2 linked regions of the Oryza sativa Japonica Group genome follow. The protein of the gene in region 2 interacts with the protein of the main gene of each other region in a pairwise test. Links are inferred from orthologs where the notes say so. Each region holds a gene or a part of one and is shown on either strand. Other genes may lie near its edges.

Evidence for each region.
Region 1: the proteins of guanine nucleotide-binding protein alpha-1 subunit (region 2) and G-protein coupled receptor 1 interact in binary tests that used the Arabidopsis thaliana proteins (3 or more experiments, as listed by UniProt). The link is inferred for Oryza sativa Japonica Group from reciprocal best matches to the Arabidopsis thaliana genes GP ALPHA 1 and GCR1.

Annotation. Positions count from the first base shown.
Region 1 is NC_089040.1:5,227,167-5,237,912, reverse strand, and holds G-protein coupled receptor 1, read right to left. Parts: upstream 10,652-10,746; 5' UTR 10,567-10,651; coding exon 10,378-10,566; intron 9,755-10,377; coding exon 9,723-9,754; intron 9,493-9,722; coding exon 9,323-9,492; intron 8,829-9,322; coding exon 8,734-8,828; intron 8,153-8,733; coding exon 8,051-8,152; intron 7,931-8,050; coding exon 7,874-7,930; intron 7,546-7,873; coding exon 7,402-7,545; intron 6,947-7,401; coding exon 6,876-6,946; intron 6,759-6,875; coding exon 6,653-6,758; 3' UTR 6,351-6,652; downstream 1-6,350. UniProt on the Arabidopsis thaliana protein: Together with GPA1, may regulate the cell cycle via a signaling cascade that uses phosphatidylinositol-specific phospholipase C (PI-PLC) as an effector and inositol 1,4,5-trisphosphate(IP(3)) as a second messenger.
Region 2 is NC_089039.1:15,698,924-15,711,896, reverse strand, and holds the start of guanine nucleotide-binding protein alpha-1 subunit, read left to right. Parts: upstream 1-7,214; 5' UTR 7,215-7,556; intron 7,557-8,923; 5' UTR 8,924-9,003; coding exon 9,004-9,096; intron 9,097-9,194; coding exon 9,195-9,267; intron 9,268-9,516; coding exon 9,517-9,554; intron 9,555-9,635; coding exon 9,636-9,725; coding exon of another isoform or gene 9,726-9,744; intron 9,745-9,873; coding exon 9,874-9,951; intron 9,952-10,505; coding exon 10,506-10,613; intron 10,614-10,696; coding exon 10,697-10,798; intron 10,799-11,500; coding exon 11,501-11,556; intron 11,557-11,735; coding exon 11,736-11,870; intron 11,871-11,946; coding exon 11,947-12,040; intron 12,041-12,126; coding exon 12,127-12,186; intron 12,187-12,263; coding exon 12,264-12,343; intron 12,344-12,507; coding exon 12,508-12,673; 3' UTR 12,674-12,973. Other genes in the region: chaperone protein dnaJ A7A, chloroplastic-like, read left to right, coding at 1,775-1,902, 2,024-2,162, 2,249-2,306, 3,054-3,096, 3,262-3,310, 3,408-3,488, 3,579-4,424. UniProt on the Arabidopsis thaliana protein: Exhibits a fast rate of basal nucleotide exchange. Guanine nucleotide-binding proteins (G proteins) are involved as modulators or transducers in various transmembrane signaling systems.

The sequences.
Region 1 (10,746 bases), on a different chromosome or scaffold from region 2:
GGCCGCCTTCGATTTCTCTCCTGCTTCTCCTTCTGGAATGAGGTAGAACCTCGAGTCATCCGGAGGGCTTATTTACAGGGGAAAGGTATTTGTTTTACTATGGCACTGTTTGGAAGATTAGCCCACGGTTAATTTTAAGAGCTAATATTTAGCTAAATTGGTAGGCTAAACATTAGCCTAGGGTGGTATGTTTGGATCTATAGCCTAATTCAAGGCTAAAAAGTGGAGAGAGAGTAGAAAGAGAAGAGAGAGAGCTGCTTTTTTTTTTGTCCCTACACAAAATTAGCCCCATTAGCACCCCTTGGAGGGGCTAATATTTTGAGGGGGGCTAATTCACATTAGCTCAAAATTAGCCCACATATTTGGATCCTTGAGGGCTAATTTGAGGCTAAAAGATGAGGGCTAAACATTAGCCCATGGAACCAAACAGGACCTAGATAGGCCCTTAGAAATATCATTTATTTCTCTTCATCAGCATTAACAAATACTCTCTCCATTCCAAATTGATATACATATTTCGTAGGTACATCAAGAAAAAAACTAATAACTCTCTCATACTATATTTACTCTAGCAACAAACTCAATGCATACACCATCCCAAATATTTCTTAGCCAATAGCAAATAAAGATATTGCATGTGTTATATAAATACTGGTGTGTATGGATGCATGCATCAATGTCCATTTACTCTAATGCATAAATAATGAATAGACCTAATAAATAAATATAAATACGTAGACCATTTAGGAATAAACTAATAGATTAAATTGTAAGGGAGGGAGTACTACTAGCAAGAGAGTAGAGTACGGTCCTTTGAATTTTTTGCTAGTAGCTCCGTGTTGACCTCGCACGTAAATCATCTCAGAATGGAGACACTATGGTAACATTTTCAATCGAGGAAAATACGAGATAGACATGGGGTTGTAAATTTTAAAAAAAAGAGCGTATCAAGTTATCAACACTCTTTTAAGAGAGAGAGTATCATCAAACACATAATTAAAAAATTTAGAGATAAGTGAAAGGTGCACGGTGCACCATTGGATGCTTAGATGGCTTGAGAGTAGGAATGCAAGCATAACAGTCAAGCGGGATTATTCTGCCCGTTTATCTCACTTTGAGTTTTTCTTATTTTTAATTTTATATTAACATGTGAGAAATTAATTAGCAAGCGAATTTTTATACTGACAGAGGAATTACCCACTTAAATTTCTACTTGAGAGGACTTGGGTTGTCACCCAGATTGAACTCTCCCTGTTGAAAGTTTTTGAAGCGTCTCTCCCCAAAAATCTTACTTTTGACAGCTAATCCCCTGTAGAAACTTAAGCTGCTTGCTAATACTACCAATGAACTTAATATGCTGATAGCTTACGGCGTGGTCAGGGGCTGCCGGACCAAATGGTGAGCGCTTTCCTAGCAAGTTGCGTCGTAGACGACCACGCAACGCGCAAATACACAACCATGTGCGCGTTTACAAGTTACAACCATCCGAGACCAATCTGCTTCAGTTCAGAGCATCACTGAACACCTGTCTCCCCCACATTGGCAGGGAAAAGTATTGCTTCTACACACTTGCATTTTTTTCCAGAGAGAATTTGTAAGTACTTCCTTTTGTTGGTAATAGTATCTGCTAGGGAGGAGCATCATTTGGTGGTAGTACCTGCGAGGGAGAATATCCATGCCTATTACATTCATATTTACTTCTCGCTTTTCCTACGGATTTTTTTACTCCTTGAAACAATCTCTAAACGAGAACGGTACTTGCAATCCATTATTCAGCTGGCAGGCAGCGTAGGTTTTTTTTAACCATTTTCTTCTCTATTAAATAATGGATGTTAGTTTGTCCTTAGCACTCCCAACACATTTTCCATTCAAAAAAAGATCTCTAAACATTCACGCCACTGTCCGTTCCATCTTCCAACAGTGCATTTCTCAGACCTTTGAGCATCGGTCTCCCAAAGAAGATGGCTTGGGTATCCAATTTATTCTCCAGAACGAATTGCCAGTACGTGCTTCAACTGAATGCAAATGAAACCATCCAATCCAACGTACAACACGATGTGGAGTGACAATAACTAACTTTCAGAAAGGAGAAATTTCACATTGCATATCCATGGAACTTTTGTCCAATACATTATTGACTAATCATACTCATCAGGGTGGTGTCTTTTCGCCCCCAAGGCCAAGCAGGAAAATGCCTCGTTAGGAAACTAGGGGATAGCATAGCTATAGCAGCCACTGTCCATGGCTGCACGCATGGTCCCCTTAAATCTACTCCCTCCGAACCATAATATAAGGGATTTTGAGTTTTTGTTTGTAGTGTTTGACCACTTGTCTTATTTAAAAAAAAATTTGAAATTATTATTTATTTTATTTGTGACTTACTTTATTATCTATCGTACTTTAAGCACAACTTTTTGTTTTTTATATTTGCAAAAAAAAAGTTGAATAAGACGAATGGTCAAACGTTACAAGCAAAAAAAAAAACTCAAAATCCCTTATACTGTGGGACGGAGGGAGTAGATTGTAGAGTGCTTCAATTGTAAATCCATGGCGTTACATGCTACTCCAATTCGTTGTATCTGATACTATCACTTTATTGTACTGAACTATCTGTAGTAGTAGTAAATATTTTTCCCCACCACTTGTATGTTTGGATTTGGGGATTTAGCTGGGATTTAGTTCAGGCTCAACCAAAATCCTCAGCAAATATTACCTCGCTCACTGTCACTAGAGGCCACCGCCGGCGACGACGACGACGACGGAGGCAATGGCTGGCCTGGCGAAGACCAGCGTGAATGCGGTGACAATGGACAGCTTCACGGCAGCCGCGACCGCCGATGGGGTAGTGACGGAGAGGTAGACGAGGAAGACGCAGACGAGGTAGGCGAAGACGAGGGCGAGGAGGGCGGCGACGATGGCCGCGTCGGCGGCGGCGCTGCTGGGGCTCATCCCGTTCGCCAGGAAGTCGAGGATAGGCTTCAGCAGCCTCGCGCAGCCCTCGGCGGCGCAGAGGGCCACAATCGCCACCTCCGGGAGTGAAGCCATCGCCGCCGCCGCCGCCGCCGCCTTGAGGTGACTATGTGAGAGTGAGACTAGCCGAGCACAAAGTAGCAGCTGGTGGGAGGACAGACGAGAAGAATGTCAGCAGGAAGGGTGACAACGAACAAGCTAGCGGCCACAGCCAGAGAAAAACTAGAAGCACTGCTACTTGGAGAACTAGTACTACAAGCAAATGAGGATGTCATTTTGATGTTTCTAATAAGGTTTTTAATTGACGATTGAAATAGCTCGTATAAGAAGTGCAACAGATAAGTTGTATTGAAAACAGAACAGTGTAGATATGTGTTTACTTATTTTATCTCTTATACTTTTATGAATTCCTAATCATATGATAAAAAGTATTGACATGTCGTCACCCTATTTAATAAAAATGAACTTTTTGTAACGTACCCGGAATTCTTTGAAGTCAGAAAAAAAGGAAAATAAAGAAAAACTTAGCAAAATTTTGATTTTGATTTTGATTTTTTTTCTTTGTCTTTTGAACTTATTTTTGGCGTTCTTGGATTTTTCATGCATCTTATAATGTATTTGCAAGCAATAGATATAAACAAAAAAATGTTGAAGTATTAAATCAAAAAGGGATAAAAAGAATTGAAATAAGTGGTACACACTTGAAATAACCTTCCTTAAGTCTCACAAGTTTTTCATCTCAATCAAAAAGACGAAAACATCCAAAATTTGATTCAAATTGAAATAAAAACAGTGAACTTGTATGAATTTTCAAAACAATATAAACTACACATGAGAAAAATCCCAGAAATTCACCAAATGAAGTTCATGACTACACTAACTTCCAGTAATTTTGGCACAAGCTTTTGAGCTCTGTAACAATCCTGAAAAAAAAAATTCCCAGACTCTCAGTTTTCCCTCTCCTCTTCACCTCTCCCCCTTGAGGTCATTTCGTCGAACATTTGGAGTGCCAACCCGAAGTCAGCGCCTCCAAGACGACCAAGCCACCCTCTGTCCGCGATTCCCGCTGTGCCAAGGCTGCACAAAGCCGACGCCGCCCCTGCCGCGCCCAGGCGCCTTGCACCGCAGCCGCCGTGGCCAATCCAATGCCGCCGCCCTCTGCCCTACCTCTGCCCGATGCCGACCAAGCCAATCTCCGCTCTGCCGCGGCCAATCGACGCCGCCCTCTCTGCCCAAGGCGACGACGCGACACGACGACCCCGACCGCCGCTGCCATCCCTCTGCAAAAAGCCTCTGGGAAGGCTGCGTCCCCAGCCTTCCGCCGCGATTCCCGCCGAGGCCGCCCACGCCATGTCTCCCGTCGGCCTCGCCCGTGCGCACCAACGGCGAGACAACCGCGCGCGCCTGCTTCTCGCTCCTCCCTCGCCTATAAATCGAGACCTCGCGCCGGCTGACTCCCCACACCACACTCGTTCTCCAACATCCCTAGACGAAGCCCTAACCTCTCTGTTTCGACGGGAACGGCCGCGCCATCACCGCACCCCCGAGCCGGCCGAACAGAGCCACCGCCATCACCTACACCATCGAGCCGTCGCGTCGGTGAGCCCCCTTCCTTTTCCTTGCGCCAGCATGACCCCGGGAGCCCCTTGAACCCATTTCATCAACTAATTTTAGACCCCCCCCCTCGCCGGAGCGCCGCCGCCGCCATTGCCGCCGTCCGCCGCCTCGTGAACCCGTCGCCGCGCCGTCACGCACCACCTCCGCCCCGAATCAAGCAAGGAGTAAGCCTCCTCGTAGTCCCTAGGCCCTCCCCTATCCATTAATCGAGCCACTGTTCGCCGTAGCACACTGCCCGCCGCCGTCCCGAACCGCCTGCACTGCCGGCCATGGCGCTCGCCGCCTCCAGCCACCCCCGGCTGCGCCACCGCCTCTAGGATGTGCGCAAGGACCTCCTATAGCTTCCACGGCCTTCGGCCGAGCCATCCCCGCGGCCGCTCGTCGCCGGCGAGCCCTTCCCGAGTCGCCGCGCCTCTCTGCCCATCGAGCTGCCTGTAGGTTGAAGGAGGAAAAGATAGGGGGCTGTTCAGATTTTGTTATTTTAAATAAACCTTACTAAATTTTATTATTTTAAAATTTTGATAAGATGATAATATTGTTAAAATTTTAGCAGAATTTCTTATGTATTTATCAAACTTAACAACAAACTAAATATATATATTTTTTAATAACTTTAAAAAAAATGATATGGTTGAAAATGATGTAAAGTGAAGAGGCCCAGTGTCTTTTTAAGAAATGCAAGACACTGATAGGTAGGCATAGGATCTATATGTAATTTCTGGAAACTTTAATGATTGGCCGAATGATTAGAGGAGTGCCTTTCACTGACATGTGGACCCACTGTTTTAAATCGATGCACACAATTAGAAAACGTTTTCCCTGTAGGAAAACGTACTCTATATAGTGCGCTTTAGTTTCTTTTGTAAACAAATTATTAAATCTGAGAAAAGGTTTCTGTTAATTATTTTTGTACTGAGAAATTCTGAAACTTTTGAAAAAAATTATATAAAAAACATTTTAACTCCGATTGAGGTTAACCAAATTTTGTTAGATTATAATAATTTTCTCTTTGGTATTGTACACTCAAACTTAGCACCACCATACTGTAAAATTTCATTAATTTAAATTTGAATAGCAACCTTAGTATTTACTGTAATTTAAATCTTAGAAACGCGATAAATTGCACATACATCAGATTTAGGCAATTATTTCTCCTAAATTTATATTAAATCACCCTATATACGCTGAATATGTTCATGCACCATGCATCATATTTTATATTAGAGTTTTACTGGATGTTCATTTGAATGTACGTTTAAATTTAAAATAGAGGACAAATCGATTGTCGCTGTTGACGAGAGTGTGCAAGACCGAGAAATATTCGAGTAACTCCTGAACAAGCCAAGCCCTATTCAATTCTTCCTTCGAATATGTTGAATCCTATCCCCAACACCGTAACTCCTAAGCAAGGCAAGCCCTATTCAATTCTTCCTTCAAACATGTTGAATCCTATCCCCAACACCATCTCAAAGCAATTGCCAGCCTCCTTCCTTTCCCCATGTATTCACCTTTTGCCGCTTCTCCTTTTCCACTATGGACGAGAGCTCGAGCCAACACCATCTCAAAGCAATAGCCTAGTGCTTTTCCTTTCCCATGGACAAGGCCACGAGGCAGTTTACAAGAACTACGCTTTCACTAAGGTGAAAATAATCATCAATGGGAAAAACTGTTTTGACACTGTCAACTGTTAGGACTCAGGAGAACCGAAACATTAGTAAGTCGTACCGTATGTGGCCTGTGGCCAGTATTTTGAGACAAACATATGAAAGCAAAACATGGAGAGGGTGGTACACTGATACATCCACAAAAAAAGGGATACAGATCAACGTCATAGTAGTATCTACAACTCTGGCTATCTCCTAATCTCTTATGTACTCCGGACAATGCAACTTCAATATATTACACTGCTCGTGTTCAAGGCAATCAACAAAGGACCGCAGGGGAACTATTCCACATGCTAACAAATGGTTAATGCTAAACATCTGGCTCTACAGTAATGTCATACACCCTTTCTGGATTGAAGAACCCACAAGATATGAACAAACTTAGTGTGCTAGAAAAATTCCTATGTGTTACTCGCATCGACAATAAGAGAAGTAAGTTCATTTTCTTGCTGACTTTTAAATCGTGTCAGAGTAGGGAGGCTCCTTTTAAATCTCTCAGGTAGATACCTGGACAATTCAGGAAACAAAATGTTATATAGTGCATAAACCAATATAGTAAATGATAAACGGAAATGAGGTGATACAGGAGGAACAGATGATTGTAAAGTCTAGAAAATAACTCACATGTCAAGTCTTTCAGCAATCGCTCTGCGCACTGACGAGTTGAGCCCATAAGCGATGGAATTAAAAAGCCCCTAAAGATACCATGAAGCATTAGAATCCATGGAAAATGTGTTCACAGATGATGTAACGCCAGAGAAGTTTTGTGAGATAAGCTCAAGCTGAGGTAAGCCTCACAAGGAAACAAAACAACAATACACTTCTACAAACAGAACTTCAAGAGGACTCCACGAGACCATGACTCATCTATGCATTATATAGAGCCAATTCTTTGGATACTGAAGGCTAAGTATGAAATACAACCAATTTCATAGGCCTGTTTCAAGAAAGAGTAGGGTTGGAACTCCAGCGCTCCCATTTATAAAAAATTATCAACAGGACTGACAACAAGATACGTGGAGTCCTCTAAGCCTCTTTCTCTAGCCCTAAACTTAAAAGGTTGGCTCAACCCACATTATCAAAGTAGTTTCAATATGTTATGAAAACTCTTCAGAACTGGGTAACTAGCATCTAGGATGAAAATACTCACCATAAGTCCGGCAAACCCAACATCAAGAATAGAGAGCCAAAATATCTTGTGGCCTGGATTAGCAAAGTCATGCACACGATTGATTGTTGCGAAAGCCCATGAACCTATTAGAATGAGAGGGTAATAACCCCACCGATTAAACGCCTGCAAAAGAAAACAAGTCAATAAGCTGTATCTGCTCAAATAAACATTCCTATCTGCTACCAGACAGTAGACAGTGGTGCGAGGCTGATCCAGACATCCAGGTAACATGATAATATAAGTACTCCTAGAATTTACACATCATTTTTGCTCCAAACATGATAACATAAGGTATTATACTCCAGTTCATCTCAAGACTGGAGGTATAAAAAAAATAATAGGATCAAATGAGTTACTCTCTGAATTCATGATAGTAGGAAGAATACAGTAGCACATTAGGGGAAAATATTTCAGTACACATAATGAGAAGAGATGTGTAGGAAATTTATACCTTCTTGTCTGCCCTCACGTCAGATTGAATTGATCGATCACTTATGCCAACAGCCATCTACAAATTCATCCATTATCTTATGAAAATCAGAACATATAAGCAAAAAGAGCAGAATTTACAAGGATTCAATACAAGCCTTATTTATCATCAATATAAAATAGAAAACTGTATGCATACCCTTGTCGCGTTGTTTATCATGCGATTAACCTGAAAGTATGTATACCCATTGTAGAGAATGGCACCCCACAATGGAAGATAAAAGGTTACCAAGTGCAAGACCTGCATATAAAAGACATATAATGAACAATTGCTAAAATTCTGACAAAGTGACAATATTTTTATTTTGAATGAGTGGTCTAGCTAGGATCAAGATGGCAAATTAACAGAAGACATAGATTGCAGTAAAGATATGGAAAAGAAAGAAGCCAATGCACAAAAAGTCAAACATACAAACTAAGAGAAAGCATGCGTATACTCTCAGAGACTCACTAAACTTTATGATACCATCTGTCTTGTGCAAGGTACGTAAGCAATTCCAAATAAATAAATGTTACTACCTCCATCCCACAAAGACTTCATTTCTGACTATGAATATAGACAATACTTGCCTAGGTTCATAGCTAGAAATGAAGTCTTTTTGAGACAAAGGTAGTACTTATTCTGTTGAGTGGAGTTTGTTTTGGATCATTTGATAACAGCTCAAATACTAAATGAAAGCAAAAACATATAGGAACGTCATTAGCACCAATTTGGGCCACTCTGACTACCATGGATAAGGTTCAAATGTAAGCTGTAGATAGGTGTTAGCAGTGTTAGAACCAAGTTAACTGATTCATGACAAAACACAAAAGGTCACATGCCTTTCCCATGCTTCCTTGTTGGATCCAACACCAGGTGCCTGGCCTTCCATAATCACTTCCAATTGAACGTAATACAGTTGTAGCTAGTGAAGTTCCTGAGAAACATATAAAAGGAAAATTATTGTCACAAGAACTGTAAATTCAAGCAGGGCAACAAGATTAATAGGATGAGTTACAACACATGTTCGCAATTATGTCAAGTCAACAAATGTCTTAAGTTGTCTACCATTCAGTATATACATTAGCAGACAGGAATGAAAAATGCATGAGAAACTGGAACTTGCATACTTGGTTCTTAGATGACAAACAATGCAGACAACAATAACAGAAAAGGAGAAACAAAAGTATGTGCATCAAATCTACATAATGCTTAGATATAAGAAATCAAAATGCTCCCGCTTGTTCCCTCTTATCAATCACATACACTTCAAATAGATGAAACAGCTATAAAATTGTCAATACTTCAAATGAAAAAGAAGCACTATACCAAATCAACAAGCATTTCTAACTTCTTAATAATATTGCACCAGCTAATTTGGCACGCACAAGCTCCAAGAAAGGCAGAGAAGTGGTCAAAAGAATTGCATACCCCACACATACAGGTGGAAAATTGATCCAAACTCCTCAACATCCGTTTTATGTTTGACAACGGTGCGATGAAGAGTGAACGCTATAGTGGTTGTCCATAGAAAAGAAGCCACACAGAAGAAGTGTGCACTGTAGTCATGAGCAAAACAGTAGAATGCATTTGATGGGCCCCTGCAATATGAAAAGCATGTGTGTAAGAATATTTCACTAGCGCATAATAGAAAGTCAGCAAAAAAAGGGGTAATCATGAGTAACAGTTCCAAAAATAACAAAATAAAGAACAATATGTTTTTTCCTTCACAGTAATACACTTTCTCCTACATTAGTTGCAGTTATTTAAAGTCAGGAAGTAACTACGTGCATTATCAAATACAATTTGAATAACACAGTCAGAAGCATACCCCATAATAGTGAATAAGCTGCAAAACATATCCTGCAATTTAGACAGAAGCTGTCAGAAAAACACCTTGAATAGAAATGTGATATCATTTCTCTCAAACAAATTTCCAAATGTCTTGAAGAAATTGAGATTAGAGACATCAGCTTGTCTTGCAGCAATTAATAATATTAACAAACCAACATGATAATTAGATAACAAACCAACTGTACTTCCAATCCAAGAAGACAGTAGCACGAAATGTGATCTCCCAGCCAATTGCCTACATGGATACTTATAGGGACATCACTTGCCACATTGAAGTAAGGGTCTATGACATAAACATCCTCACACGGTTCACTAAAAAAAAAATGGAGCATGCCCTATGCTACTTCAAGTGCCGATCAGATAGCAAACATCTTACAAAAAAAAAATTGTCGAGAACTGCTTCAGCTCGCACGCATAAGCAGCAAAAACAGAGCATCCGTTGGTTAAACTGACGGCGTGAACCCCCAATATTTCTCAATCGGAGGCGAAATGAACACCGCACTGCCCTCAGATCCCCACTTTGCGCTCCCCAATTCCAAATCGCAACCCAACGCAGTTACGCAGATCACGAGGCTAGCCTCCCGAACCCAGAACCCCCCAAAACCAAGTAGTTCCAGATCTGAGCCGCTCACCGAGACCGCGAGGAAGTAGACGAGCTTGAAGGAGAACTTGCGGAGCTCGCGGAAGAGGAGGTAGCAGAGCACGATGAAGGAAGAGCCCGCGAGCGAAAGCGCGGCGGCGGAGGTGCCGACGGCGTCGAGGACGTCGCGGTCCCTCAGCGCCTGGCTCACCGCCGCCGCAGCCGCCGCCGATGCCGCCATCGCCGTCGCCGGCGAGCGAGCGATCTCCGCGTCGACGAGGAGGTGGGGGGAAGGAAGGAATGGCGCAGTGGAACGGCCGGTCGGTGGTTTGGTCGTTGGGTTGGGTTTGGGTTTTGGACCGGATTTGCCTGCCTTCGTAGCGAAGGCTGTGGTTTACTTGGTCTGTCTGGTGGTTAGTCT
Region 2 (12,973 bases):
GTTCTTTAAGAGGTTGTCCTGATTTGCTGCAGCCCAGTAGGTATTGTATATTTTTCTCGTTGGTAAATTTGGCAGCAAAAAAAAAAGTGTTTAATACCGAATGTTATAAACCCGAGCATCTCATGGTGTCTATATATCAGCATATATGATATGTTAGGATTGGTAAGGATGCATATCACACGATTACAATTACCAACTCCACCTCGAAGATAATAAGCCCAATAGTCTAACCCTAAAATCCCTCCCTACCTGTCCGTTCCTTTTCTCAACGATTCCCAGAAGCGCCGCTTATCCTCGAGCCGAGTGGCCGACAGCGCCGCCCAGGAGTCGAGGAGTCGTAGCTCGTAGCGCCACCCTTCCTTGTGCGCGCGGTTGTGCCCTTTCTCGCCGCCGGTCTCCCCGCTTCACCTCGCATCCTCAACGTCAACAGCTGCCATCCGCTCCTCACGCTGGCTATCGGGAAGGTCAGTAGGTCACGCCGTCTCCTTCCCTACTTGCCTCCGGCCACCCTAAGACCCCAACTCGCCTCTTCCTCGCGCGAATCGCCTAGTTACCCGGCGGGCGACACCCCTACTCCCGTGTGGCCGCGCGTCCTCGTCGTCTTGCTTGCCCTGCTTTCTTTGGCTCACGAGCCAAACGAGCCCGCTCGAGCTAGACAACTAGCCGAGCCTAGCTTGGTTTTCTAGCTCGTTAGGATAATAAGCCGAGCCTAGCTAGACCGAGCCGAGCTGGCTCGACATCCACCCCCTACACGCGTGCCTTTGCCCAAATCTTATCTCCCGGGAGGCTCACTTCCCTCCCCGAGTGGCTGCGACGACCTCCGCAGCTCGAGACGAGGTGCCACTTCTTCTTCTCTCTCTCCATCCCCCATTCCTCCCCTCTCTTCCCGTGTCCCGTCGTCCACAGCTCCCCGACCAAATCCCTAGCCCTACTATTCCCGCGCCCGCCCCTCCCTCGCGTGGTCACGCCCGACAGCGCCGTGCCGCCACCGCTTCTTGCCCTATTGCCGCAGTTCTTCAAGAGGCTTTTGTCCTAATTTGCTGCAGCCCGGTAGGTATTATATATTTTTGTGGTTGGTAAATTCGGCAGCAAAAAAGAAAAAAAAATAATACCGAATGTTATAAACCCGAGCATCTCATGGTGTCCATGTATCAGCATATATGATATGTTAGGATCGGTAAGGATGCATAGCACACGATTACAACCACCAACTCCACCTCGAAGATAATATAGCGTAGTGTTTGCCAGCTTCGCACGTTATGGCCGAATTCTTATGTATAACAAATTTACCATGGTATGTAAGCTCAAAAATGCAAAACTAATTATCCTCGAACCTAAAAAAGTGTATACATGCAAGAGATGATCAATCCCACATATAAATACATGCAAATAATACACGCCCTGCTCGACAGCCACTGCTGCAGCTGTACCTAAGCTACTAGCTGTGGCCGCGGTGTGCATCCACAACCGTAGCAATGGCTGCTCAGCAGGCCCATGATCTCTGAAAAAGTTCCTGCAAGCAGTACATATGTATGTACAGTTGTACACACCCTCGCCCCTATTCATCCTCTTAAAGGAGTAAGGAGTAATGACAGTCGATATGTGTTGGTTGATTAAAATTTAGAAGAGAACGTTTTTGAATAGAATTGTGAACTTACTCGAATATCGTTCTTTTGTGTATTGCTTTTGTTATGCTTCACCTGACTCTATCTCTGTGAAATGGCAGCTAGTATATTGAAGGTTGAAGCTTTGTGGGTATCCAGCAAGTATTTCAATGGCGTTGCTACAGTTTGGAGGTACCTTGGCCCCCAAACTTGGGGAAAAACCTCAGCTGTTGCCCAGGTCACCTGCACTTACAAGAGTTATTTATGCTGATCCAAGATTTCTGGTGTCGAAAAGTGGGTATGTGAATGTGTTCTGATCAGTGAGATGTACTAGGAATACTAAAATAAAGGACACATTGATATTATAAAAAGGCAAGATTTCTGAGTAAACTGAAGATGATATATCTCTTTTTGTGCAGTAGTGGAGGCAGGCTTAAACACCTTGTATCACCTACTGCTAGTTTACAATCACGGACATCTTCTCGACTATTTAACCATGCACCATCACCGAGATTTCGCCATCGAAGGAGTTCAAGGTTCATTGTCAGAGCTGATGCTGTGAGTTACTTCATTTGCTTTTCTTCTTTGCTGGTATTATTAGAAAATCCAGTTTCCTGACATGGATTTGATATTTTAATTTACAGGATTTCTATTCCACACTTGGTGTTTCAAGAAATGCTAGTAAATCTGAAATCAAGAGTGGTAGGTGTGGTTTTATTTGTCAGTTTAGGGCATGCAGTGATTGGTGCTCCGTACAATCGTAGGAGTATTACCCAGCTTTGCTTCTTCTCTAGTTTGAGCCTGGTTGTAGGTTTGTAGGTACCCTATAATTTACCAAACAAACCAGACTGCTTTCATGTGGCTATTAGTCGTAGATTACTAGTTTTAAATCATACTGTTCACGTGTGAAACAAAATATATGTACAACAGAAACTGTTAAGCTTCCCAGGGAAGATATGAAATATATAACTAGTCTTTTTCAAACTTGGCCATAGTGAGCTTTATGGCCCACTTGTTTGTTCTCGAAAGCTTTACTATTCCTACTAGTAACTCAAATATTTGCTATTTCATCTAATTTGAAGGCTATCTCAGCAAAACCCCTTGAACTATTCTAAGACAAGCCTATGCTGTCTTCAGTATCATTTTCTGCAACTGATCATCTTGCGTTCTAGACTCGATACTGTTTATATTTCTGAAAATCTATTGTTGGCAACTTCTCATTGATGCATTGTTTGTATGGCCCTCAATCCCTGCCCTCCACGTGTGTGGGCAGAAATTTTGAACAAAAATCCCAACCCACACCCGTAGATAATCTAGGATTTGTCCTATCCAAATAATGCCTAAGGGGATATTATGTTAGAAATCCTTCAGAGTCAATTTTGATCAAAATATGTGTAGTAGTTTAATGTTGCTTTCTATTGTAGTTCTAAAATGGTCCTTCTTTTCCAGCCTATAGGAAGCTTGCTAGGAGCTACCATCCTGATGTGAACAAGTAAGTACTAACCATTATATGGGAATTGTGTTTCAGCTACACTCGATATATTGCTTCTTTTTCTCCTTTCGATCCATTATAAACCTGAGTACTAGTTGTTGCATTACCTTTTTCATAACTACATAATCAAATAAGCAATTGTTATGCTTGTGTATTTTTCTTTAGAGATCCTGGTGCTGAACAAAAGTTCAAGGATATTAGCAATGCTTATGAGGTTAGTCCAGCTAACCATAACCAAATCCCATTGTTTCTTATGACTATGTTGTTGTAGGGTTACAGGTGCTTGCCAGCTAACATAAATAGGATTGCAGGTTTTGTCTGATGATGAGAAGCGATCAATCTATGATAAATATGGAGAAGCTGGTTTGAAGGGTGCTGGAATGGGAACAGGAGTGAGTGTTCCTAGAATGTTGTCCAATTCTGAAGTATGATCAGCATGACCTTTATATGATATTGATTGTATGAAATTTGTGAATCTGCAGGATTACTCAAACCCATTCGATCTCTTTGAATCATTATTCGAAGGCTTTGGTGGAATGGGGGGAATGGGAGGCCGTGCTGCTCGGAACAGACCAATGCAGGGTGATGATGAGGCCTACAATCTGGTACTCAATTTCAAGGAAGCGGTGTTTGGTGTAGAGAAAGAAATTGAGATCACCAGACTGGAAGGCTGTAATACATGTGATGGAACTGGTGCCAAGCCTGGAACGAAACCAACCACATGCAAAACATGTGGAGGACAGGGACAAGTGGTCTCCTCAACAAGAACGCCACTTGGAATATTCCAGCAGGTCTCCACCTGCAATACTTGCGGAGGCACTGGTGAATTCTCTACCCCGTGCAACACTTGTGGGGGTGATGGCCGAGTGCGGAAGACAAAAAGGATCAGTCTAAAGGTTCCTGCTGGTGTTGATTCTGGAAGCAGATTGAGGGTCCGGTCTGAGGGGAATGCTGGGCGGAGAGGAGGCCCTCCTGGAGATCTTTATGTGTTTATTGATGTTCTCTCTGATCCTGTTCTTAAGCGAGATGGGACAAACATTCTATACACATGCAAAGTTTCATATATTGACGCAATTCTTGGGACAACCGTCAAGGTTCCCACTGTTGATGGGATGGTTGACCTGAAGATCCCCTCCGGTACCCAGCCAGGCACAACGTTAGTGATGTCCAAGAAAGGTGTCCCACTCCTCGGGAAGTCAAATGCTCGTGGAGACCAGCTAGTGCGTGTGCAGGTCGAGATTCCAAAGCGTCTGAGCAGCGACGAGAGGAAGCTGATTGAAGAACTTGCAAACCTAAACAAGGCTCAAACAGCAAACAGCAGGAGATAATTCCATGAGGCTTCATTGGACAAAATGCTTTGGCAATATGCAATTTTAACGCAAATTGCAGTGACTAAGTGAGCATGAACTGGTAAATCACTTCACAAACTGTACGCTCATGCTGCGCCGTACCATCGGTGGGAACTGTGAATTCTCATGTCTGTAACTTCATTTTTAAGCCATAGAAATCTAGTTCCATCCAAAACACCAAAACGGATGGTGTTTTACAGTAGCTTGTCATATGCTTTTAGGCGAGCTTATTAGTCTATTTTTCATAATACTTTTTCACAATTTTGAAAGGCCTAGGGAGAAATATTTAATGGTGCAAAAGGGACGAGTTTTGAAACATTTGTTTGTCGCAGAAGCACCAGACCATTCTGATTGTTATTGTAAGCTGTAACATCAAAGTTTTGGCAGCAGGTTTTCATGTGCTCTTAAGCGTTGGGGGTTTGTTCCGTTTGGTTTTCAACTGTATGCTAGCTTTCTCTATTAGCCAATGTAATGGCAGTTGCAAAATCTGTTGTAGTGCAGGCGTGCAGCTAAATGCAGTATAGCTGACTGTTAACTTTAAGCTGATTGTTCCATGCATGTGCCAGTAAAAGGCCAGTCAGGAATGAGTCTCATGGATCAATATATGGTGCAGACATGTCAGTAGGATATAGGAGTATTACATTATAGTTTTTTCAGCTTCAATAACGTTCATGTTAGCTTGTACATTGTATGGCAACCCTTCCATACTTGCGTTAGCCACAAAAGTTCACCATGTTAGCTTGGCTTTAGATCAGTTTAAACTGTCCTTTAATAGCAAATTAATAATCCATAAATGAAATTTTACTTCCACTGTTTACCAGTGCTACTACTGTTCTACCTCCAGCGTTCAACAGCTGAGAAACGTGAGGAGTCCAGCACCAGCAGTACCATTTACTGCAATGCGAGAGAGATGTTCTCCGTTTCCTCCTTCACTGAGGCTTAGGAGTAGGAGTAGTAGTGATTTTTTCGTGTCGACTTGTTTAACATTATCGTTAACACCATCAAGTGTCAATGCCAGTAGCCTGCTGCTTCTGATCATTTCTTCCTTCCCTCTTCTAACGCCATTATCGTTTTATCTCACCTTGCATTTATGTTCAAGTGACCATGGTTCTTGACAGAAGCAGCCCTTGTTCTTTCCTGTCCCTTTGTTTGTTCAGTACGCTATTATTCTCTTGGGTACTAGACCTTGTATAAACCGGTTGTGAAATCCTCAATCAAATAAAAGTTAACTCGAAATTTGTGGCCTGTTCCAAGTGTTTGGCAAACCAATATGTATATTATCCACCCGATTATCTAATGGCAATACAGTGCCTAAAATTCCTGCTTCCGGAGTCTTAAACTTTACCCGAATCCAATCTGGAAACCGAAAAGACAGCTGCTTGGCTGATGGCAAGTCACTGGGTACATTGATTTGTGTTAATTTTCAGTCCAATAAAACAGCGCAAAAATTGTAAGGGTGATCCCTCTTTAGTAAAGCCATGCATTCTGCAAACTCTGTTGCAATGCAAGCTGTATCCTATATCCAGTGCCGATGAACCAATTCTGTTTGCAGACTGTACCCTATCTCTACTCTACAAGCCAACCAAAGGAAAGTGTTTGATCTGCAGTGGAATACTAGCAGGTATTCCACCATTTCAGGGTTGGGAGTGTGATTGATATGCAGGAGATTGACATTGTGCAGAACATTGGCCGTCAGGCTGCCGCTGCCGTCGCCGGTGGTGTCGGTGAGAAAGCCCGGTGGTGGTGGTTGTGCCGGCGGCGAGGAGTGGCTGCAACAGGATGGGCTGTTGTGCATGGGCGGATCAGCGGGTGGCTTATGGCGGTGGCCACGCTGTTCGCCGGCGACGGACCCGGCGGCGGCGGCCTTCACGAGGGACGGCGCATGATGATCCTGGATAATTTCGAGACTTCGGGCCGGCGTGCGTGCAAAGCCCATACATATTCTACGCGCAACTGTCACGCACAAAAACGAAGTTTTTAGTACCACATGGAAAATCTATGACGACTGACACCGGCATAAAAGACGACGCGCTCGCATCGCTCCTGGCGAGCTCGGTGGCGTGAGCTTGTTACCCCAGCTGCGGGGGGGCGGGAGTTGGCATGTTTCGGCTGCTGGAGAAAATGAGGTTTCTCCCTCGATCGAATATGGATGCAAACATCCTCCCGACTTTGGCCCACGAGGGAGGGAAGGTGTGAGTCACCCTGGGCTCTTGACGGCTGCGTCATGGAGCGAAGAGGACGCTGAATCGTGGGAGAGGTGTGTGGTGGCCGGTGCCCGACGACGGCGCCTGGCGATGCGTGGGGAGAAGGCGAGCAGTTGTATGTGAAGAGGACGCTGAATCGTGGGAGAGGTGTGTGGTGGCCGGTGCCCGACGACGGCGCCTGGCGATGGGTGGGGAGAAGGCGAGCAGTTGTAGTTGGGACCCGCCACACCCCGCACGTGCGCAAGTCCATGACGTGAGCGCTCCCGGTCATTAGGAGCCACGTCAGCTGGCGGCCTCCGCCGTTGAGCTTTTCCCTGCCAACCGACACCCTTCTCCCCACCCATTGGCGAATGCCCTAGAGGTTTGGGTTGAGATAGGAGTAGAGGGGAGTGAGGTGGAAGAAGATTGCTAGTTGGCTTGTGGGTTCCACGTGGGCCCTGCACTGACTCAGCCACCACGTCAACAAAACCGGAAAGCAATACTACCTTGGGATTAAAAGTGGACCGTTTTGCAAGATTAGGGGTTCAGGGCCGTTTAAAACTCAACGACAAGATAAGGGACCTTAGATGAACTTTTTTGGGAGATGAGGCGCCTGTGCATATGACCCATAGGCAGGCGACAACGCGGCAGCAGAGCGCTGCACGACCTCCGCCTCCCCAATCCGTCCCGTCTCCTCGCCCGCCGCCCTCGACTCCCGTCTCCTCGCCTGCCGCTGGCGCCGATCTCCATCCTGCTAGCAGAGGTGGCGCCGGCGTCCTCCTGCTCCCGCCGCATTCGCATCCTAATCCATCCCATCCGGCCTCGGCCTCGAATTTCGTCTCCTCGCCCGCCGCTTGCGCCGATCCCCATCCTGCGAGCAGAGGTGGCGCCCGGCGTCCTCCTTCTTCCACCGCATCGTCGCTCGCCGGTGAGCATCCCTCCCTACCCACACCTCATCAGGTATTCTGCGTTATCCCTCAAAAAGTTTGGGGGTTCAACCGAAACAGGGTTAGATCTGCCTCTGCCCAGCTCCACCTACTTTCAAGTTGTTAATTTTGATTTCCGTTTTTAGCAGATGTAATTTGGTTATTGAATCTCATCCAAACACCCTTAGAACGAAAAATGTAAGCTCACATAATTTGTACTCATCCAAACTCACATAAATTTCTTAAGAAGAATCTAGACCACAAACTACCCATAGTCACACAAAATATCTTTTTATCAAGGTATATTCTTATAAGTAATTTTTATTCCACAAAATTTTCTAAAGGACATACTGTGACACTTGGCATGAATCTAATTTAACATTCTTTCTTTATCAGGTTATAAATTGAAACCATTGAACGTACTTTGTCTTCCCGTCCCTAAAACATTGTGATATATCTGTAATATTTTAATATTTTTAATTTTAAAAATAATTTAGACTAATAATATAGATATTTAAATTAGGTAATTAGTAAATTCAAATCAACTATAGTTTGGAATAAAAAAACAAAATGATATATGCCAAGTACAATCTAATAACAATAGAATGCACTTTTGGTTAATGTTTACTCCTAATTTCTTAATTTCTAGTTTGGCTCCCCCCACCGTTATGGTAAAAAATCGTTATGTTTTAACTATTTATCTGCTAGAGCATATGTAATATTTATGTAAACTATGTTCTTTATTACCAATCAAAATAGACACCTTACCTACTTTCATCAAAAGAAATAAAAAATGTAGTAGGTATTATTCTGGAATACTCCTCGTCGGAAACATATGGAACGCATTTCCCTCAAAACGCAAAAACCGGGGCCCCGAGCCCTCGACACCAACCCCGTCAGATGTGAAGCCGACGGCCCAAATGGAGGCCAGCGGTGCCAATGCGTAGGCCACGCGTGCCTCTGCGCAAATCTTATCTCCCGGGAGGCTTCGCTCCACTTCCCTCCCCGAGTCACTCAAACCATCCAATCCCCCCACCTTCCCTTTCCTTGCCCCCATTCCCCACCGTCGCAAGGAAAAATATTATTAATAAACAATGATGTTGATGTATTATTATTAAACAATGATATTGATGTATTTCTAAATATTTTCACGTATTATTTATTAAGTGTCAGTGATTGAAATGGATCCTGGTCGGAAATGAATCCTGGTCGGAAAATGGTTACTAATGTTTTTCCTTCATATAATATTTCTGGATATGTATAACAATGTGGGTCAGCAATATTGAACTATGCAAACCATTACTCTGTACAATCTTTTCTTTTCAAATGCTGGCCACATTTCGCTCGAGCTTACTGCTCATGTATGCAGCTCATGGATCCTGAGATCTAGACGTCAACGTGCTTCCTGGAAAGAGAGAGGCTCAGGCATGAGAGCATACCTCTAAAATAATGTCCGTGCTTACCTGTGTGCTTGATAACATGGGCTCATCCTGTAGCAGATCTCATTCTTTAAGTGAGGCTGAAACAACCAAAAATGCAAAAGTAAGTTAGCACTCGGACTTATTGAACAAGTAAATGCTAACTCAATTCTTGATTTGAGAGTTGCCACATTTGGTTTCTTCTAATTCAGCTGGTAACAGTCTGCAGACATTGACAGGCGAATTTTGCAAGAGACAAAAGCAGAGCAACACATCCACAAGCTCTTACTTCTTGGTATTGCTAACTTTCCCAAATTTAAGTGGTCATTTTCCTTGTCACAATTATCTGTGCTACCTTTAGTATCTATTGGTTCAGAAAATTAATTGTTTATGTTGTTCCTATTTACCTCTATAAAAAAACCTTTCTCATGTTATTTCCAAAAAAAAAGAAGATAAATAAATGTATCCTAGAAATTTTTAGTTTGAACTTGTTCTCAATGTGGATCCATCCTTCTTTCTCTCTCTCAATTGCTTCTGTTTTAAGGTGCGGGAGAATCAGGGAAGTCTACGATATTTAAACAGGTGATGAATGTTATATTCCATGGAGAATCATAATCCGTACGCCGCTAGTTAGTCTGATGTATTCTTACTGTTCACCTGCAGATTAAGCTCCTTTTCCAAACTGGCTTTGATGAGGCAGAACTTAGGAGCTACACATCAGTTATCCATGCAAACGTCTATCAGACAATTAAAGTATGCAATACTGGAAAGGGTGTGTCTTTTTTTTCTTATTGCAAAGTGGGGATTATGTAGGAGATTCGACTAGGGATTTGTATTCTGTTCATAAGGAAATGCGTTCATACTTTTCCTTTTTGTCGAGTAATGTGTTAAATGTTAACAGATACTATATGAAGGAGCAAAAGAACTCTCACAAGTGGAATCAGATTCCTCAAAGTATGTTATATCCCCAGATAACCAGGTTTGTGCTTACTCTTTACTCAACAGTTAAAGCTAAATCTGTGCATATGAACATGTCTTGTTAAATCTGGGAATACAAACATTTTGATTTGCAACATTTCTGTTGTAGTCAAGCTGCTCGGCTCTATGTTTTAACCTGTTAAGACCTTGTAGACTGTGCTCGGCTCTATTGTAGTCTTATATTTTACACGGTCATTCTATAATGAAAACTTGAAAAAGATATCTATTGAACCGTACAATGTACTGAACAAAGTAGAAAAGAACAATGAGATTTTGTAACATTTATTCTTCCTTGTTTATTTGATTGCTTCAGACAATTGTTGATATGCTAAAAATAACTTGGTATCAAATGTGGGTGTTATAAGATTCAATTTTTTTCTCAACCAGGTTAAAAAAAGTATACCTTTGTGCATTTACCTTGTTCCGTTGCTTTGGAACTTTAAAGGAAAACTGACTTTTCTTAGGCATTGAAAGACAAATATCACCAGTTTCACACTGTACACCTTACCAACCAATTTTGTTTCTTAGATGTCATTTACTTTGTCATATCATCAGGAAATTGGAGAAAAACTATCAGATATTGATGGCAGGTTGGATTATCCACTGCTGAACAAAGAACTTGTACTCGATGTAAAAAGGTTATGGCAAGACCCAGCCATTCAGGTGAAAACAAATAGCCATTCAAATCTTTTGAAGTTATATAGTTTTCCTGGCCAGGTGTGCTGAAGCAATGCTCTATACTGTAGGAAACTTACTTACGTGGAAGTATTCTGCAACTTCCTGATTGTGCACAATACTTCATGGAAAATTTGGATCGATTAGCTGAAGCAGGTTATGTGCCAACAAAGGTGTGCTGTCCATGTTCATAGACAATTATTTACATATTCTCAGATATTTGTGCTGACACCATTTCATGTTGATTTTTAGTCTACTTAGTCAGAGGTTGTCAAATGGTTAACTATGTGTACTGAGTCAGAGGTTGCCAAATAGTTTTAAAAGATGGGCATATGTTTATCCTTATCTTTTAAATAATATTGGAGGCTATCCTTTAAAATTCAATATTAGGGAGGAGAAACTATTATTCTACCGTTATTACGCAGTCTACATAACGAAGGTAAAAAATGTCCCTGTGAAACATAGGGTGCAAAACTGCTGTGAATAAAACTCTACTTATCTAAGCACCTTGAGCTTTTGAGTTCCCACATATTAATCTTATGACACTAGCATATATTTTTTTTGTTCAGTTCCTTCAATAAGTTGCAAACCACAAATATGATCACTGTACCATCCACTTTTGCAACCATTTCCCGTCATTTCTTAAGCATAGAAAATTGTTTGTCACTTGTTTAAGTCCACACTGCATCAAAATTCCAATTAACATTGTGTGTGCTAAGTGAAGATATGACTCCATATTTCTGCATTTAGCAGTCTGATGGATAATTTGTGATTGTACCTTGTCTAATGGTTCGTTTGAAAGGCTGGTAGTTGATCTTCCATACTTAAGAATGCTTGCAGTATTATAGTTGTCAATATTATGAGTCATTTTGCAGGAGGATGTGCTTTATGCAAGAGTACGGACAAATGGTGTTGTACAAATACAATTTAGGTAATCTGCTGACACTATTTTTTGCACATTTTTTTGCTGGTTGCTCTACTATGTACAGAACGACAAGTTGAAGTCCTTTTTTTCTCCCCTTTCACTTCTAAGATATGACCTGAGAGGTTCTGAATGTAGCTGTTTTAAGATGAGTTGAATCATCTAGTTAACTGGGTTTCTTTCTGCAGTCCTGTTGGAGAAAACAAAAGAGGTGGAGAGGTATATAGGTTGTATGATGTAGGAGGCCAGAGGAATGAGAGGAGAAAGTGGATTCATCTTTTTGAAGGTGTTAATGCGGTAATCTTTTGTGCTGCCATTAGCGAGTAAGTACAATTTTTTTGATTGTTGAACTTATCCTAATCTGCTAAGTTCTTCTCATAGGCTTCTTGTTCATTTCAGATATGATCAGATGCTATTTGAAGATGAGACAAAAAACAGAATGATGGAGACCAAGGAACTCTTTGACTGGGTTTTAAAGCAAAGATGTTTTGAGGTCTGCATGCATCCATCTCTGCAACCTTTGTGCTCATGCTTTTTTTCTCATTTTGAAACTAATTACGGTGCTATATTGACCATCAGAAAACATCATTCATTCTGTTTCTCAACAAATTTGATATATTCGAGAAGAAAATACAAAAGGTAAGGCCTGCTCTTTGTACCAATGCATAGTTTAGTACTAAATGTTACCAACATTTATGTTTACGCTGGTTACGTAGGTTCCTTTAAGTGTGTGCGAGTGGTTTAAAGACTACCAGCCTATTGCACCTGGGAAACAGGAGGTTGAACATGCATATGAGTGAGTGCACTACTCGCCCTCTCAGATGAACATGGGCATTTGGCCATTTGTAATGTTGCTGCATGGTGCACTTATATGCCTTGATAAGTTTTTCCATTCTAATGTTATATAGTATCAAACGTTCATCATTACTGTGGCTTATGGTCTGGAGTGACGTTTTACAGGTTTGTCAAGAAGAAGTTTGAAGAGCTCTACTTCCAGAGCAGCAAGCCTGACCGTGTGGACCGCGTCTTCAAAATCTACAGAACTACGGCCCTAGACCAGAAACTTGTAAAGAAGACATTCAAGTTGATTGATGAGAGCATGAGACGCTCCAGGGAAGGAACTTGATTCAGAGCTAAGACTAGGTTGTAAGTCACACAGGGAAGGTAATTAGGACGGCGAGAGGAACAAAGTTTCACACTGTCACAGCTTTATCTGTTGTAATTCTTTTACACGTGGACCATTGATTGATCTTTTGGTTCTTACTGTGGGCTGTTCAGGTCTGTACCCTATTTTTTGTTCTCTAGTTAGCCATTGTGCAAATTTTCCTTGAATCAGATTCTCTACCTGTTGTCTATGTGTGTTATCTTGGTCTGTTAATTTGCATAGCCCACTTGTTCATTACAAAAGGAGATCTTTACTACTTAC